Rattus norvegicus: one gene and its partner. The protein of the gene in region 2 binds, or shares a complex with, the protein of the main gene of each other region. Links are inferred from orthologs where the notes say so. Each region holds a gene or a part of one and is shown on either strand. Other genes may lie near its edges.

What was found.
Region 1: the proteins of Ghrhr (region 2) and Ghrh are in contact, whole or in part, in a cryo-EM structure (PDB 7CZ5), measured with the Homo sapiens proteins. The link is inferred for Rattus norvegicus from reciprocal best matches to the Homo sapiens genes GHRHR and GHRH. Residues at the interface, in NP_000814.2 of Homo sapiens: Leu119, Ala120, Glu122, Glu123, Phe126, Ser127, Val129, Lys130, Tyr133, Val179, Lys182, Leu186, Phe187, Asp190, Thr192, Asp193, His194, Cys195, Phe197, His210, Thr213, Phe217, Ala271, Cys272, Asp274, Leu275, Asp276, Trp282, Ile285, Ile289; in NP_066567.1 of Homo sapiens: Tyr32, Ala33, Asp34, Ala35, Ile36, Phe37, Thr38, Asn39, Ser40, Tyr41, Arg42, Val44, Leu45, Gly46, Gln47, Leu48, Ser49, Ala50, Leu53.

What each region holds. Positions count from the first base shown.
Region 1 is NC_086021.1:166,426,115-166,434,951, forward strand, and holds the start of Ghrh (somatoliberin precursor), read right to left. Parts: upstream 5,767-8,837; 5' UTR 5,592-5,766; intron 1-5,591. UniProt on the Homo sapiens protein: GRF is released by the hypothalamus and acts on the adenohypophyse to stimulate the secretion of growth hormone.
Region 2 is NC_086022.1:85,849,754-85,857,957, forward strand, and holds the start of Ghrhr (growth hormone-releasing hormone receptor isoform 3 precursor), read left to right. Parts: upstream 1-151; 5' UTR 152-155; coding exon of another isoform or gene 156-236; coding exon 237-293; intron 294-2,874; coding exon 2,875-2,977; intron 2,978-3,059; coding exon of another isoform or gene 3,060-3,087; coding exon 3,088-3,195; intron 3,196-3,746; coding exon 3,747-3,844; intron 3,845-4,840; coding exon 4,841-4,938; intron 4,939-5,736; coding exon 5,737-5,869; intron 5,870-7,194; coding exon 7,195-7,348; intron 7,349-7,634; coding exon 7,635-7,695; intron 7,696-8,113; coding exon 8,114-8,183; intron 8,184-8,204.

The DNA of each region.
Region 1 (8,837 bases), on a different chromosome or scaffold from region 2:
CTCTGTAAACTGGCCTGGTTGGTCCTCTCTCCGAGTCTGTGTGGTTCCTCCAGAAAAGGCGAGCTTCTGAGTGGGTGGTAACTGTGAAGAAGCTCACCTTTTTTTTTTTTTTTTTTTTTTAATTTTAAGAAAAGCCTGCATCCGAGGAGGTCTTGCAGAGCTCTCCAGTGAAGAGACAAAGTCAAGACTTGCCTATTCAAGCCGGTCTCTAATCCCAGCATCCTCCATCCCAGTAGATGGAGGTAGAAGGATCACAAGGTCAAGGAGCACCTGGGGGCTACAGGGAGAGTTCAAGGCCAGCCTAGGTGATTCTCAAAATAAAAGTTTAAAAGGGGGCTGGGGATTTAGCTTAGCGATGCACAGTGTAACACCTCTGGGTTACTTGAAAGTGCTGCCCCTTACAGTATGTAACAGCTCTAGTAAATTCTTCTTGCTTGGAATATCTCACCTTGGAATGTCTTGTGGCAGGAGAGCTATGACTTATGAATGCCTACCGGGATGGCTATAGGGACAGTAGAGTTAATGCAAGTATCATGCTACAAAGAGACTGTTCCTACATCTGGCTGCCTCTCCTTGGCCTGTCTCTCCAAGAAACATTCTCCCTGCCTGATGTCCCCTGGAGTTGGATGATTTTATATGTGGAGGCAGGGGGGAGAACTTTCTCTAAGCCCCTCCACATGCTAGGGACCAAAGCTGATCTGGGTCCGAATAATAGGTGTATTGGTGAGGAGGGGGGGCGTTAGTAAGAGAGCAGGATCTCAGGCTCACCGGAAACGAGCTCAAAGGATCATTTTATTCTTGACTGCTAAGACATCAGACACACAGGGAGGGTCTCCCTAAAAACCCTGCGGTTCTGCCTGTGGAAGAGGGTCATAGCCTCAGGCAGCCAGGAGGTGGCGCTGTTCTCCAGTCTTTGGTGGAGTCCGGCTTTGTTTCAATGTCTGAGGCCCCTTGTGTGGGGCTTTGTTCCCTATGAAATCCCAGGACTAACAAAGCAGGTTCTGGTCAGATCTGTCTTGCCATCCTTCACTCTGCCACCCAAGCCCCTTCATCCTTCTCTTCCCAAATCATTCCCAAGTCTTTCTCTGTGTTTCCACTTAGGGGACCGTCCTGGCTCAAGCCCTGCCGCAGGACCAAAGTATATCTATCACACAGGGCTCTCGGCGCACCTGGGGTCAGTCAGTAAGGAGAGAACTTCTCTTGGGATCTCCTCTGAAGTCTCAGGGTTAGCATGTCTTAGCGACAATCGGCTCTGCGGACACGAAGAGGGCGTTCTTATAATTCTCTCATCATAGGCAGACCCCAAAGCCCTGTCTGAATCTCCAGTTCCCAGTCTCCCATAACAAAAAAAAATCATCAGGGATCTAATATGGCCTCATTTCCGCTCCGTGGTTCCACTTTCGTTAAGGCACCTAGTAGCCCGGCACCAACTAGCAGAAGCAAGATGTCTGCGTTCTCCTCAGAGCCTCTATCTCCAAGTGCAACTTTCACCCACTCCCAGTCATTTAGTCCAAGATCAGCCCTGCCACAGCCTCCCCACTCACCCCTGGCTTCCTAGGAGCTCTGTTACTAAACTCCAGAAGCTGGAATTCATGGCTAGGACACAGCTTGCAGCTCTGTCGCTAGCACCTGGGGCCAGCAATTATTCGTTATTTACTGAACTCCACTTGTCCTAAATCACAGCCCAGGTGGTGATGTCCACCGTACATGACTTCACCGCTCAGCAACCACCGGGATTAGGAACACCTAGGGCTCCCACTGCAGGACCGAAAAAGCTGGACCATGGAGAATCGGAGTGCTATGTGCCAGTCTCCTAGAGACAGTAAGTGGGGGCCAGAACAGCATAACCACCCTGGTCCAGCTACAGCACCCCAAGGCACGTCTCCTCCAGCCCTACAACAAGTAGCAGATTTCCCACAGAGTAGAGCCAGTGGAGGTCTCTGCAGATCCTGCCGGGTGGAGTTCTCCATGTGATAAAATTAAGACTGTCCCGAGGTTCATGATGGGAGGGCTGTGAGGGAAGATGACTGTCGGTTCACACGCATTCATCACAGCGGGGTGAGGTGGTTCAGCAGACCAGAGTTTGATCCCTGATGCACAAGGAGAGAACCAGCTCACACAAGTTTTCCCTGACCTTCACACACACACACACACACACACACACACACACACACACACACACACACACAAATAAACAAATGCTGTAAACGGTTTTAAAAGAGCAATGCTCCTGATTAACGTCAGAACCTTCAGATATGGTGACTTCATGAAACCTAGACCCCACAGAGCCATGCCCTGACCCCGTTTACAGCTCCCTCAGATTGGTCTCTCACAGACGAGCATTCCAGAATGCTAAGCAAGGAGAAGGCATCTCTAGCTGATCTGTGCGTCTCATCGTCCCTTCGAGCTCCCATCCATCCCTTTGTATCTTCCCATCAGACAGCACCCAGTGGCGCTAAGCACCATGCTCGGTGGCCAGGAACCGGGAAGAATAAGAAGCGATCGAATGAACTGGTATTTATGAAGCACTGCTCTGTGCCGAGCGAGGGGACCCCTGGTGTTCTGGGCCTTGCTCTGGTGGAGATTCCACTCTAGACAGGAAGGCAAGCAGAAAATTGCTTACAGTGTGGTGTGCACACTGTGTGACCAAAGTGTGTTTAGTGCTCTCAGAGCGCAGTGGGTCCAGGTTCCGTTTGTCTGCCAGCAGCAGGGGCTTTGTGAAGGACATGGCATTGAGATGGGGCCTCAAAGAGAAGTGAGATAGGGAAATGACACTTATTGTGGCTGGAAGGAGGGCCCTAGGATCTTCTGTGAACGTAAAATGTACTTGTGTATGTATGGAGGTTCCTGTGGGTTGCAGGTGCATATGCATGTGTGTGTGTAGAGGCCCTTTTCTTTCTTTCCTTCTTCCTTTTAACAAAAACAATCTCACAACATTTATTGCCACCTAATGATAATGTACAAGTGAAACAAGATGAGTAAACGTAGCTCCCAGAAGAAGACACCTTTAAAACCCTGAACTCCCTTCTCGACTTCTCCCCGCTTGACTATTGCTAGTTGCAAACACGTTGGAGCACAGTAATATTGTCTCCTTTTAGCATGATCCGACCCGGTTGTTCTCTTGACTTTGTTTTAGAATGAATTTCTTCTGCATCATCTGAGTACAAGGTTCATGTACTCATCAAAGCCAATGATACAACCCTCTATCCGAGCATCCACTTGCTCACATAGCCACACCTGAATTCAAGATCCACTTTGCAAGTATCTGAAGATAAGAGAGGAAGATGGGCTGCACCCTCTGGCCCTGGTGATGGAAGTCCCACAGACAACACCAGTAGGAAGGCCACCTCAGAAAACCGGGACCTGAGTTCTGGTGCTCAAACTTATAGAGTTAATTCCCACTTGAGCCCTATGCCTTCTGGTCCTCTGTGTGCTTCTCAGATGGGCTGATTGATTCCTAATTCAAATGTTGAAGGTAGGACCTAGGATTCTGGCATGTTAATCATAGAGATGGGATCTTATTTTGATATGAACCCAGGTCCATGGCTCCACTAGTAGGAAATAGAGACCAATAGATTTAGACCAAACTATGCAGGGTATCAAATGCCACACTAAGGAATTTCGTCTTTTCTTGTTCTCCACAGAGAGAGGACATTGGAGGCTCTCGAGGCCTGGTGGGATGGTTTGGGAAGGGGAACATTGGCAGCAACCTGAAGGAAGTGAATCCAGTCAGGAAGTTCAGGCCAGTGAGCCTTGGGCCTGAACTAGTGCAATGGTGAAAGGTAACTAAGGGAGGCTCTGCAAGATGAGCATAGGCTAGACCAGCACAGCCTAGACCAGCACAGCCTAGACGAGCTTATCAAGACAGCCAGGGCAGGGAAGTGAAGGGAAAGGATGCCCAAATGAGTCTATGGATGACTGGAGGGAGGGCCAGGATGCCTGTGGAGATCATGTTAAGAGGGGATGGGAGTTCCATTCGCACATGTTGGGGACGGAGTGTCATAAGACCTCCAGGAAACCCTGGGGACCAGGTGACTAGATCTGGTTCAGATCTTGGAAATGATGGTTGTTTCTCTAAGCTGCCTCCTCCCTCCCTCCCTCCCTCCCTCCCTCCCTCCCTCCCTCCCTCGTTCCCTCCCTTGAAGGGCACAGGAGTTGAAGTGGGGGGTAGGGTGGGGGTCGGAGAGACCTTGGGGAATTTATATCTATCTTCAAGACAGGTGAAGCAGAAGTAGAAAAGGGGGATCCAGGCCATCGAGATGGTGCAGCAGATGAAGGTGCTTACCATGCAAGCCCAGCCACTTAAGTTCCATCCCTGGGAGCCACATAGGGTGGAAAGAGAGGGGACAACCCCTCAAAGTTGTCCCCTGACCTCCACACACACTAATAATAAGGTCAAAAGAAGGAAAGACCCCAGTGAGAGAGCGAGCTACTTTCTGTCAGCCTGGAGATGGGCTCTCGAAACTAAGATTCTCTCTCTCCTTTGCTGAGTCTCCCAGAGGCAAATCCCATCTCCAGGCTCAAAACATACAGATCCAAAGACTGGGGGCGAGAGGTAAAAGAGAGGAAGCCAAAGGGTCCCTGCAAGAGAGGTGGGCAACTGCTTAGTGGAAGAATCCCTACCAAGCATCCACGAGGTCCCCAGTTCTCCCCTCAGCACTGGGAAATGAATGAAGGATTGTGAGAGGAAGCCAGCAAAGACAATTTCAGTAAGATATTGTGGTGCTTGCCATCTCCCTCACCGGACTGTTCTGAAGCAAATCCCGGACTGGTAAATATTTCAGCACGTATCTCAAAAAAGATAAGGGTTCTTTCTTCAACATAGTCAAAATCCTATTATCACCCTTTAAGAAAAAAAAAAAAAAAAAAGCCCTAACAATAATTCCTATGGAGGGCAATTTGACAAGACCTCAGAATGGAAGCTAGGCCTTAAGCTGGGGCTGTCACAAACCCATGATAAGGAATTTAAATTCTCCCAAGATAATTATAGCCAAGGCAAAGAGGAGATTGGAAAGGCCAGGGATTTTAGAAGCTTGGGGGCGGGGGGGGGTGCCCCTGGGAAGGAAATGTTATTTTAAAGGAGGAGGAGGGGAGGGGAGGTATAGAAACATTTGCAGTGCATAAAAGAAAATGGTGTCCTTGAGTTCATTTTTCTCACTCAAGGGCCTTTGGTCATAAATAAGAAATGGGAACCGGTCTGAAGTGAACCCAATCAGATAAAAATAACAAAAGAGATTGACTGGGTTCATTTCCCTCCCAGGCACTGCAGTTTCCGTGCGTTTCACTGGAAAGGGCGGTTAGCCACATTGCTGTTCATCAGAGGTCTGCAGATCCCTATTAACCGCTCAGTGAGGACATTGTCCCTCAATAGGGGCATCAGGAGAGCTAGGTTCAAAATTTAGATGTCGGGCTGGAGAGATGGCTCAGTAGTTAAGAGGTCCTGAGTTCAATTCCCAACCACCACATGGTGGCTCACAATCAACTGTAATGGGATCCGATGCCCTCTTCTGGTGTGTCTCAAGACAGCTCAGAGTATTCATATACATAAAATAAATAAATCTTTAAAAAAATTTAGATGTCTACGAACTTACACTGTGCAGTTGTGGGATCCAGGCGAGCTGGGAGCCTTGACCAGGAGAGATCTGCAACCAGGAAAGCTGACCTGGAGCACCAGTGATGTCCAGACCCTAAAATTCCCATCTTAAGGCTGGCAGGAGCAGGACGCCTCCTTCTCCGTCCTGGGCCTGCATGTTCCAGAGCACGTACATAGCCTTTTGGCCCCACCTCTGCAATCCTTGAGGTAGTCATAACCGGTGGCCAGGTTATAGGTTAAATTTCCTCTCTGGACAAAGTCACGTCCAGACAGCAAGCACCTCAAATTCCTTTTCATGCAGTAAAGCATTCCCTACACCTTGGTCTTGGACAATGACATCCGTTTGCCCTGAGTGCCCCTACTCACTCCCCAAAAATTTAAGTAGCCTTTGTGCTCCCCAGTTGAACGACCTGCTCGATAAAGCCTGCCTCCAGAGAGTCTGTTCTTGGGGGGCTCACAACAGCCTTGAGGTCTCCATCACACCCAGCCGTTCCTGCCTTGATTTCCCTCCCTTTCAGGTCACCAGTCACATCCCTGGCATCATGCCATTCAGGGAAGAGGAGCAGGTGACACCATTACTCTTTAATCTTGGGCAAGTTTGATCCTCTCTCTGAACTGATTTGTGAACCGAGGGAGGTAGACTCCAGATTTGATGCGCCAATAAACTACCTAATAGAGTGGTGTGCAGCTCCTGGGGTTCAGAGCGTGTTCCTGGGATTTGGCTCGATGTTCCGTGGCATCCGCAGAACGCTCCAATAAGCTCAATGAACGGTGTCATGGAGACGCCTGCGCTTATTATGCCAGTCCGTGCCTTGGAAACATCCAGGGCTGTATTCTACAGACCCCTGGAAGGAGAATGAAAGGCAGCCCTTGGGGAGCTCCTGGGAGGTGGCTAGGAAGGCATGCTGCTTGGAAGTTGCTTACAGCCATCTACAGATGGAGTGGGTTGCCCAAAGCTCAGGAAACAAATTGAACAAATCAGCTAAAATGACTGTCCAGTATCCCGCTTCCACACACGGTGGCAGGGAAGGGGATTCGGTGGGTGGTTGCCAGGGACTGAGGACTGCGATGAAGCTGGAGGAGCCGGGGTTGGCAGAGGATGCCGGATGTGACTGTCCTGTTTCTGGATCCTGGGAGAGGGGCCTGTGGAATTGTGTATGTCCAGAGCCTTAAGAACTGGTGTTGGAGAGGAGCCAGACAGAGTAGGCGAGAAACAAAACAGACTCTGTCCTGGGGCGGAAGAGAAGCCCTTTTCCCGAGTCCCGCTTCTGACAGGCTGTGGCATCTGGAGAGAGGAGACTCAGCTCCAGTGGTTCCTGCTTCTACTTCTAGCTCCTCCGGCAGGCCTTAGTGGGCTCCCATCACCAGGTCTCTGCTCATGCAGTCCTCATCCAGGAAGGCAGTTCTTTGTCCCTGCCAGCCTCGGCTCAGAGCTCCGCGCAGACTGCTGCCCTCCCCTGCCTGCCTGTTTCCAACAAAACACTGGATTTCAGACCCTTTAAACCAAAACAAAGCTGTGCTCGCCACAACTCTTTATATTCGTCTCTTCTTTTAGTTTAAAAATTAAAATTTTATTTACTTTTATTTTTTAATTTCTGAACCCTTTCTTCCTTCCTTTATCTCCGTCCCCCCCACCCCCCAAGACAGAGTCTCATGTAGCCCAAGCTGGCCTCAAACTTGCTTTGCAACCAAAGATGACCTTTAAGTTATGATTTTTATGACCCTCCCCCATATCCCACAGCAACACTGGACTCACAGGTGTGCTCCACCACGTCAGGGGGCTGGGCATGGAATTCAGGGCTTCATGCTCTCTAGGGGAATCACATCCTCACCCCGGTTTTCGTTGTTTTGTTTTGTTTTAGGTTCAGATATCACTGACCTGGTGATCCTCCTGCCTCAGTTGCTAGTGCTAGTTTGACTGTGTTTCTACTCAATAAGCTGTGTGTGTGTGTGTGTGTATGTGTGTGTGTGTGTGTGTGTGTGTGTGTGTGTGTGTGTGTGTTTCGACGGGGCTGATTTTTGAACTCGTTGGCCCTCACATCCATTTCTGCAGGAGATCAGAATCCCATTGAAATCAATTATGGTTCCTGAAGAAAACACTTCCAGTTCTCTCCAGCCAGCTCTAGCCCTTCCTTAGCTACACACTCCTAATGAACATTCTCTCGGGTCCAGCAGTCAGTGTTGGTCAGCCCTACGGTGAGGCAGCTGAGTGAAAGAGCTCTAGCAAGAACAGGCAGGCACCCGCCAGTCTTCCCACCCACTCATCTTTGGAAGCTGCCCTGAAAGCCCTTGGCTCACAAGATGTCTGCCGGGTAGGATGTTAGGACCTTGTGCCTCTTGGTAATAGAGGAGATCAGTGGAGTAGGGTAGATGTGTCTAGGACAAGGAGAGACTAGAGCATGCCACTCACAGAGCCCAGTACAAACCCATCGGGGCAGCGGCTTTTGTGGTCCCAAATGGCACTCTGTGCACTTACTGGGAACTGGGTCAAAGCACCACACACATCAGGCCCACTGGAGCAGAAAGTGACGGCTGAACTGAACTGGCCTCTGGCGCTTCAGATGCCTGCCCAGGTTTCTGAGCCTCTGCTCTCCGCTCACCCCACCAGCGTTAAGACAGACTTCAGCCTCAGAAAGGTCACCCTGATGCTGTTCTCGCCCGTGAGCATCTTCTCTCTCCCTGCAGCCGTTCTGCAGATTATTACTCTTTGCTTTTCTTTAAAATATTTCAGAATTGAAAATGAGCTTATCAGAGGTTATTACATTACCATGACAACCTGGCAGCTGACAACAAAGAAGCAGGCAGCACACGAAGCGAGCGGTCTCAGTGGCACTAGAGTAATTGCGAATTTTTTACCCAGGGGTCACTGTATGTAGACATATCCTCTGTTTCTCCTGTCTCTTCCTCTCCTTTCCCCCCTTTCCTGTTTGGCCCTTGAGTCCTCTGCCATCTCACTGTAAGCAACACAGGTTCTAATTCTAGATTCTCCCCGAGGCTAATGTATTGTAACCTCTCCTTTGAAAATAACGCTATCATTTGCTCAAGAGGCTGATGAGAACAGGGATGGTGACTGAATTTTTTTCCCTCACACGAGTGGTATATGCAAATTTTCTTGGGCTGGAAAGACGGCCCAGAGGTTCGAAGAGCTTATTGTTTCCCGAGGACCCAAGTTCGGTTCTCAGCGCTTCTGTCAAGTGGTTCATAACTGCCTATAACAGTTCTGGTCTCCATGCATACATTGCAC
Region 2 (8,204 bases):
GTAACAGAGCTCAGCCAACCCCTGCTGAGGACACAGAGTCCCATTTGGGGCTGGCAGTAACACAATGTCCCACCATCCTGTTCAATATTCAGCTGGGTGTCCCTCCTGTTGGCCCTGCCTACACAAGCAGTTACTGGGAAGGTGAGGTAGCAGAGATGCAGCTTGGTGGCATCGCCAGAGACAGCCTGGGAGGGAAGGGCCACGGCTCTTTGGGGCGGACTACAGGCACCACTGCCATGGACAGCCTGTTGTGGGCTACCTGGGTCCTCTGCTTGCTGAACCTGTGGGGAGTTGTAAGTAGCCAGCTCAGACTTCCTTCTCTGTTCTCTTGGATGGTGACAGTCTGTAGTGAGGGACCTCCTGAGTCTAGTGGCTCCCTCCTTCCTTCCCCTGAATAATCTTAGATCCTGCCTGGCACTGAGCTGCCTCATTTTCCCCTCACCTAGGTCCTATCTGTATGCTCTGGGAGTCCCAGAGACACCTGTCCTGAAATGGCTAAGGCCGGTTAGGGCCTCCCTGTCAGACCTGAGCCTGCCCTTTCTCTAAGCCATATACTCCAGGCTGCCACCCATTACTTCTCAAAAAACAGCCAGTATCATCCCATCTCCTGACTCCTGGGTCGTCTCCAGCATGGCTGTTTTCTTGAAGGAAGTGTGGCCATGGACCATGTGGGGCCTGAAGAGGTGTGAATACCAGCCCTTCCAGCTGTGACATTTGGGGACTCTTCCTTTCATATAGCCAGGGTAGGAGAAGCTTCAGAAACCAACCTCCGCTCCCTGGCCTGTGCACAGGGGGATGGGGAAGCCAAGTAAGAAGGCTTCCCTGAACACACTGCAACTTTCCCAGCAGACTTTCTGGGTTGCTGACAGTAGCATCAAGGGTCAAGAGGGGAGGAGTCACAAGGCACTAGGAGGCGCATATGGGAACCGAGGCTACCCTCTTCTACTGCCTTGCCAGAGGTGACCCCCCCATCCCAGTACCTCACTGCCTTTCACTCGAGTCTGGCATCTGCATACCATGAAGTGAACTCTGTGACACTTGAGATTTCACTTGCCTCTGTGTAAAAAAGAGAAACTTGGGCTTGGTGTAGAGGCTCATACCCATAGTCTCAGCATTTGTGGATGCTAGAGGATTATCGTGAGTTCGATGTTAGTCTGAGCTACTGCAGAGAATTATAGGGCAGTGGACCTAGGGCTACCATGCCTCAGGAAGGGGGTAGGGATAAGCGGTCTGATCTGTCAAGGGTGGCATATGAATGTCATGCAGCTGGCATGTGAGTGTCATGCAGGTAAATTCTGTGAACTCCCTATATGACACAATGGACTCACATCCTCCTCTGTGTACACAGTACCTTGAAAGCTCAATTTCAGGGAGGGAATCCCAGACAAGAGGAGTCACTCAGCAGCTGGTGTAGACACCAGATTCAGGACTAGAGTTGTCCAGTGTCTCCCAAACCTTGAGGTGAGAAGCTGGTCAGGTCAGGGAATGGTCCTAAGTGTGTGTGTGTGTGTGTGTGTGTGTGTGTGTGTGTGTGTGTGTGTGTGTGTGTGATGTATAAGTGCATGGATCTTGCAAGGGAATTTATGTAAATCTTGAGAGATGTTAGGAATTTTAGGCATACTCAGATCTCTGTCTCACCTGCAGCACTTGGGCTCTACACGGCCCCTGAATCACCGATCAGAAACACAGAAATGTCCAGAAAAACTTAGAGACCATTTCTTGTGGCCCTCCCGGACTCTGGGAGGGATCCAGTCTGCAATCTTTATGATCACCAAGCACGCATGAAGGCAGCTTCCTTCCTTCCTATCTAATGATCAACTCAGTTTCCCTGACGCAGGACCCTCATCATCCACCATGCTTCTGTGCATCCTCGAATGTCCACCTTCCCCGATCTCATTGTCTGTATGTCTGTCTGAACACTCACCCACTCCACTAGTCAGTTAGTCCAGTCCCTCCCCATTCCATCCTCCCTGTTCCCTGTCCCTTTGCCTCAGTCAAGAGCTCTTGTTTTCTTACTCTCCCATCTGCCCGTATTCTCTCCCACTTACATTTGCTCATGTGACTTGTCTGAGACATGTCAGACGTCCATGCTTTTCAGTTGGCTAAAGCCAGGTGGTCTTCTGGAGTCTCCTGGCCTGGCCTGAGGCATTTCTTCATCTTCAGTAAGCACCATAGCTTCTTTTAACCCTCTCCATCTTGTCCCCTCTGATTTGGTCCTTGTGCTCTCTTGTTATGATTCTGGTCCCACTCAGATAACCAAAGGCATCTTCCTGACTGGAAATCCTTGACTGTATCTGCTAAGTCCCTTGTGTCTTACATATTTACTGGCTTTAGGGATTGGGACATGAACATCTTTGGGGACCATTGTTCTGCCTACCAGGGCTGTTCATGCAGAAACACTTCTAGGGCCCAGAAGTGTATGGAGTAGGGGGTGGTGGGGAAGGAGGAAAGGCCTTGTGAAGGAGTGCACTGTCACAGCTATCGACATCTACATGACTTTCTTTAATATGTCTCAGAATTCACTGCCACAAGATGGAAAAGTGAATCTGTCTCTCTCTCTTCTTTCCTATTTTCTCTGCCCTCCTTTCTTTCCTTTCCTCCTTCTCTTCTTCCCTTCTTTCTTCTGCTCTCCTTTCTCTTTTCTTCCCCTCCTGCTCCTCCCTCCCTTTTGAGCATTTGCCCTCTATTCCTGGCTCCTTTTTCTTTAAGCCCCACTGCTCATCAAACATGCCTTGATATCTGTGGGGCAGATGGGTCTTTCTCAGAAGTAGGGCATGGAAATGTACCAGGCTTGGTCTCTGTCTTCAGGTCACTCCAGCTAGAGAGCACGAGGCCTCTAGTGGGCTTGTCTCATTATGTCACTATTTCCCATAGGCACTGGGTCACCTCCACCTAGAATGTGACTTCATCACTCAGCTGAGAGACGATGAGCTTGCATGCCTTCAGGCGGCAGAGGGGACCAACAACTCGTCCATGGGTAGGAAGGGGTGGGGATGTCCCTAATCCTGACACCTCCTCTTGCATTGCCCTGCAGGATAGCATCTCAGTTTCCCTCACAGGTGCCATGTCTCCTCCTTCTCCACTTAGGATGCCCTGGGACCTGGGATGGGCTGCTGTGCTGGCCCCCAACTGGCTCTGGCCAGTGGGTCTCCCTCCCCTGCCCTGAATTCTTCTCTCATTTTGGCTCAGACCCAGGTGAGTGGCCTAGCTGTGGCAGAGCTGGGGAGCAGGTGGTCCCTTGTGGTTTGCTCATCACTGATTGGGTGATGGGCTGTCCTGGACTTCAGTCTCACTTTTCTATCTTCGACTGTTACCCTGAAAAATTTAGTCCTCTTGGCTAATGACTGATAGTGTCAGCCTCCCAGTGTAGGATTAATGACAGCATTGGAGAGAGGGAGGGGGTACCATATTGTAGAGGGTGAGAAACACCTCCTTCTCCACTTCACCCTCTGGCCTTCCTGACCCTTATGGAGAAGGGGGCATCATACTTCTTGCCCTTAGAGTGTAGAGGTCCATCATTCCATTCTTGTGCCCCTCAAATGAATATTGTTCAACAGAGCTTTCTTGGAGAACAGGAAAGACTACACTTGTCTGGAACCCCAGCCACAGGAAAAGAGGACTCTTCTCTCCCTGTGGTTAAGAACTCCTTGTATAGATCTTGCAGGGACACTTGACAGTCAGGGCCCTCCCACCATCTTCTGGGAAAGGGTGGAATTCTGTAAGCAGAGATTCTTGCTTGCCTCTAGGGGCTGTGAAAAGGGACTGCACCATCACGGGTTGGTCTGATCCCTTCCCACCATATCCCGTGGCCTGTCCTGTGCCCTTGGAACTGCTAACAGAGGAGGTAAGCAGCTCCCAATGTCTTAGAGGAAGGTGACCATGTATACTGGTAAAAGTGGTAGCTTACTATCTCAGTGGATGATGGATGGCTGTCATTGTCACTGTAACCAGCATGTGGGCATAGTAATTATAGGAGCTGTCCAGCAGATGGCAGGAACGTGCCTCCTGAAGCTGATTCATTTACTTAAGGGTGACACTTGGGTTACTTTGCTTTGAGGGAGAAGGGAAGTAGAGGGCAAACTGGAAGCCATAGTCACCCTCCTCTTGGCCAGCCTTTTCTCTACTCAGTTTCTGCTGCTGGGTGGGGGTTTTAGGTATTTCAGAGGGAACGAAGATTACTGTTGTGCTAGACAGGAAGTGCTTCCTTTCTCGGGTCCTCAGCCCGTGGTACAGTATACTGGGTTGTGGCCTGGGCCAGGGTGTAGTAATTACAGAGACCCCTGGCTCTGGGCAGCATACCCTACACTGTGTGCAGATCAGGATCTTCTCAAGGCCCATCCACACTCACAATCCCATTTCTCCCCGCCCTCAGCCCTAAGAGTTGAAGCCCTGGTGTCCTTATCATTCAGATGGAGAGACAACTCAGGGAAGCACAGGGATTGCGTGAGCTGAACGTCAGAGCCAGAGCTGTAGTAGTACCTGGTCATACTACACCCCTAGCTCCAACTGATTCAAATACTTGGATACCAAAGAGCCTTCCCTGCCTGCCTGTGGCTGTCCCTGGTGTCCAGGATGTTACCTTTATATGGGATGACAGTGTTCTCAAGCTAGCTGGGGTCAAGAAACAGGCCCAAATTCCTCTGGTGCTTTTGTTACTCTCCAGAGGCAGCAGCTGCTGCTGGTTCTTCCCACCCCCAGTGCAACTGTGACTCCCTAATGCCTCCACCTGCAGAGGCAGTGCCTGTACAAGGCTTTCTGTGGTGTCGGTGACTAGGAAGCTGGTGGAGTTGCAGACCCATGCTTGGTTGCCAAACCTCCCTTCTGCTTCTGTTGTCCCCAGAAGTCTTACTTCTCCACGGTGAAGATCATCTACACCACAGGCCACAGCATCTCCATTGTAGCCCTCTGCGTGGCTATTGCCATCCTGGTTGCTCTCAGGTTCGTCATTTGCTCAGAAACCATCACTGGCTCCCTACTGTCTGGGGACCATGTCTGGTTCTTTGCCTGCATAGACAAGAGGGGCTCAGATCCAGGCAAGGTGACCTTCGCTGACTTCTTGCCCCTCCCTTCCAACCCCCACGGGTGGGCCCTCTTCTCACACACCAGGTCTTTGTTCCCTTGGCTTTCCACACAGTTGCTCATTCTGTTAGCTTCCAGTGCCTTCTTTTTCTTGGTATTGCGTTCATCCCTGCCAACACTGGAAGTCCAGCTCTCATCAGGTTCTAAGAATCCTCCTTGACCCCTGCATGGTCCTCTTTGGATGGTTGTGGTTTTCGAACCATTACAGACCATTATAGCCTTCACCATGGAGCCCACTCTCAGCTCGTACTGCTGGGTGTGGTGGCTTTCCAGCCTTCAAAAGTTGAGTTTCCTCACAGGACTATGCTTCAAAGGGTAGATCTCTGATCACCAGGGGGCTCCCTAGGGTCTTACTGGACTGTGGTTGTCTCTGCACCCACAGTTACAGAGCTGTATGAAGGCGGGGCTATAGAACCCCTGCTCCTTACCTGAGCGTAGGCCATGAAAAGGCTGGCCAGCTGACCTTCAGGGTCAAACTGACACATTGTTCTCACTCTCTACCCAGTTCATTGGCTTTCATTTTATTTGATGTGGCTTTGGCTACTCTGCATTGACTCACCTTCTGCCTAGCTTCCCAGCCATGCCAGGCCTGTTCTAGGCCCTGGGAAGGTCTTTTTGCAGTTAGGCCTCTCCATTCATCTCTCTTGTCCCTTCCAGGAGGCTCCACTGCCCCAGGAACTACATCCACACGCAGCTGTTTGCTACTTTCATCCTCAAGGCCAGTGCTGTGTTCCTGAAGGATGCTGCTGTCTTCCAGGGTGATAGCACGGACCACTGCAGCATGTCCACTGTAAGGGCTATGGCTGGAGGGAGCTGGGACAGGGGAAGAGGGCAGGGGACAGACCTGCATGTGCCTGACCTGTTGCTACACAGCCTGTATTTATGACCAGCAACAAGGGAAGGAAGCCTCAAGCTTTCCCCACCCATTCATAGATCAATGCCAACATGAGCGACTCCCTTTGCCAGGGGCATCCCATACCATCATACCTCTTTCATCAATGTTCCCATTTCAAGTTGGTTACAGCAGCTCCTGGGCCAGCCAGCCATGTCATTGCCTTTAATGAGTATACAAGGACCTGGGTGGAGCTTGCCACCCCCTTTCTTCCAGAGGCACCTAGGCAGCAGGAGGCACCCAGACTTGGGGACTGCTGGGTAGGGAAAGCTGGGAACTAAGAGAAGGGCCTCATGGAGGGGGTGCATGGACACAAGGACAGTGAGATGGGGAGGAAGCTTTCAATGAGAGGAGAGTCTGGGGCAGAGCTACCTCATGGAAGTGGGAAGTCCCAAAAGTGGAGGGGTGGGGAAAGGAGAGGAGAGGAGCAGAGTGAACTAGAAGGGGTCAGAGTTCAAGGTCTTTCAAGTGTTCTAGAAATGAATAGACAAGTGAGTGCCCAGACCAACGAGTGGCCTGATTTAATTAATGAATTAATCACTGACTGCACTCACTTAGGCCGGGCAGCACACCAAGTACTTTACATGTATTATCTCTTTTGATCTTAAAAGGCCTTGAAGGCCTCACTGTAATCCCATTTTGTTAACAAGGGGCAGCTGGCCAGGTCACCCAGCCACACAGTTGGGGAATAGATAGAGCCCGGGCAACTGGGCTCAGAAGTTGTACTGTTGCCCACATAGGCAGGTGAGGGAGGAACAAGACTAATGGCTGCACGCATGATGGACACATCCTATATCCACTGATCAAAGCTATGCAGGGATAAGCAGTCCATGGTTAGTATCACTTTAAAGGAGAACTTCAGCTTAGGAAGGGCACATGACAGAGCAAATAGAACAGTGTGTGTGTGTGTGTGTGTGTGTGTGTGACACACCAAACACGACCTTAAGAGGTCCTGGAGTTTTTCCTTTCACAGACAGAACACCTAGGCTGAGATGCTTTGCATGATTGACAGAAGACACACCTAACCTGAACCTAGCCTGTGTGTCTGTGTTCTGACCATCACAATTATATTGTCAAACTCCTCCCGTGGCACACCAAGGGGTGGAATGGTCCGGTCCAAGGTGGAGGGGACCTGAGGGTTTGGGGTCTCAGAGGGGTGAAAGAGATCCAATGGGGGTTGAAGTGGGGTTCCAAGCTCTTAAGCATCAGGTCCCTGCTCTTAGATTCTGTGCAAGGTCTCTGTGGCCGTCTCACATTTTGCCACCATGACCAACTTCAGCTGGCTGCTGGCAGAAGCCGTCTACCTGAGCTGTCTGTTGGCCTCCACATCTCCTAGGTCCAAACCAGCTTTCTGGTGGCTGGTTCTCGCTGGCTGGGGTGAGCATCAAGGGCTCATTGACCATCATAGGGGAGGTGGAGGTTGGGAAGGACCTGGGAGCTCATAAAGAGGCCTTTCTCATTGTGAATGACTCTGAGGCTCAGAGAGGGGGGAAGAGGGCAGGCCATAGTCCTTTGCTGAGCATCAGGAAGTAGACCAGATCCCTTCAAGCCATTACCTGGGCCCACTATCATAGTCTGCATGTGGCTAACAATTGGTGGGAGGTGGAGTCTACACTCAAAGGGTGCAGGACCCTCACTCATCTCTGTGTTATCTCACTCACAGGACTCCCTGTGCTATGCACTGGTACGTGGGTGGGCTGCAAACTGGCTTTTGAGGACACTGCGTGAGTAGAGCAACTTCCTCACCCCCATGCTGTCAGCAAGGCCTGTAGTAGACTATCTAAGGGGGAGGGAGAGGGGACCTCTAGGTTAGAGCATGGCAGGTGGGCAGGAGGAAGGAGGAAGGAGGGGCAGGAGCTTAGGCAGGAAAGGCTGTCAGAGCTATGAATCTCAAGAGAGCAGCTCTGATCAGGTTTTCCAAGGGCAAGAAATGTCTGGACAAGGATGAAAAGGGCCAGTCTTCACTGGGTCTCTCCTTTGGAGAGGCTAGGATGGGAGAACAGGCCACAAGGAGATAGAGTGGGGCTGAAGACTTGAGCACTAGACAGAGAGAGGCCCCAGGAGGCATAGCATGTGTGTTGAGGAGGTGCATTGTCAGAGAAGAAAAGGGGCACCTTCAAGCCCACGCTCTCTTCTTCCCAGGTGCTGGGACCTAGACGACAGCTCCCCCTACTGGTGGATCATCAAAGGGCCCATAGTCCTCTCTGTTGGGGTCAGTTTCTGAGACCAGAGT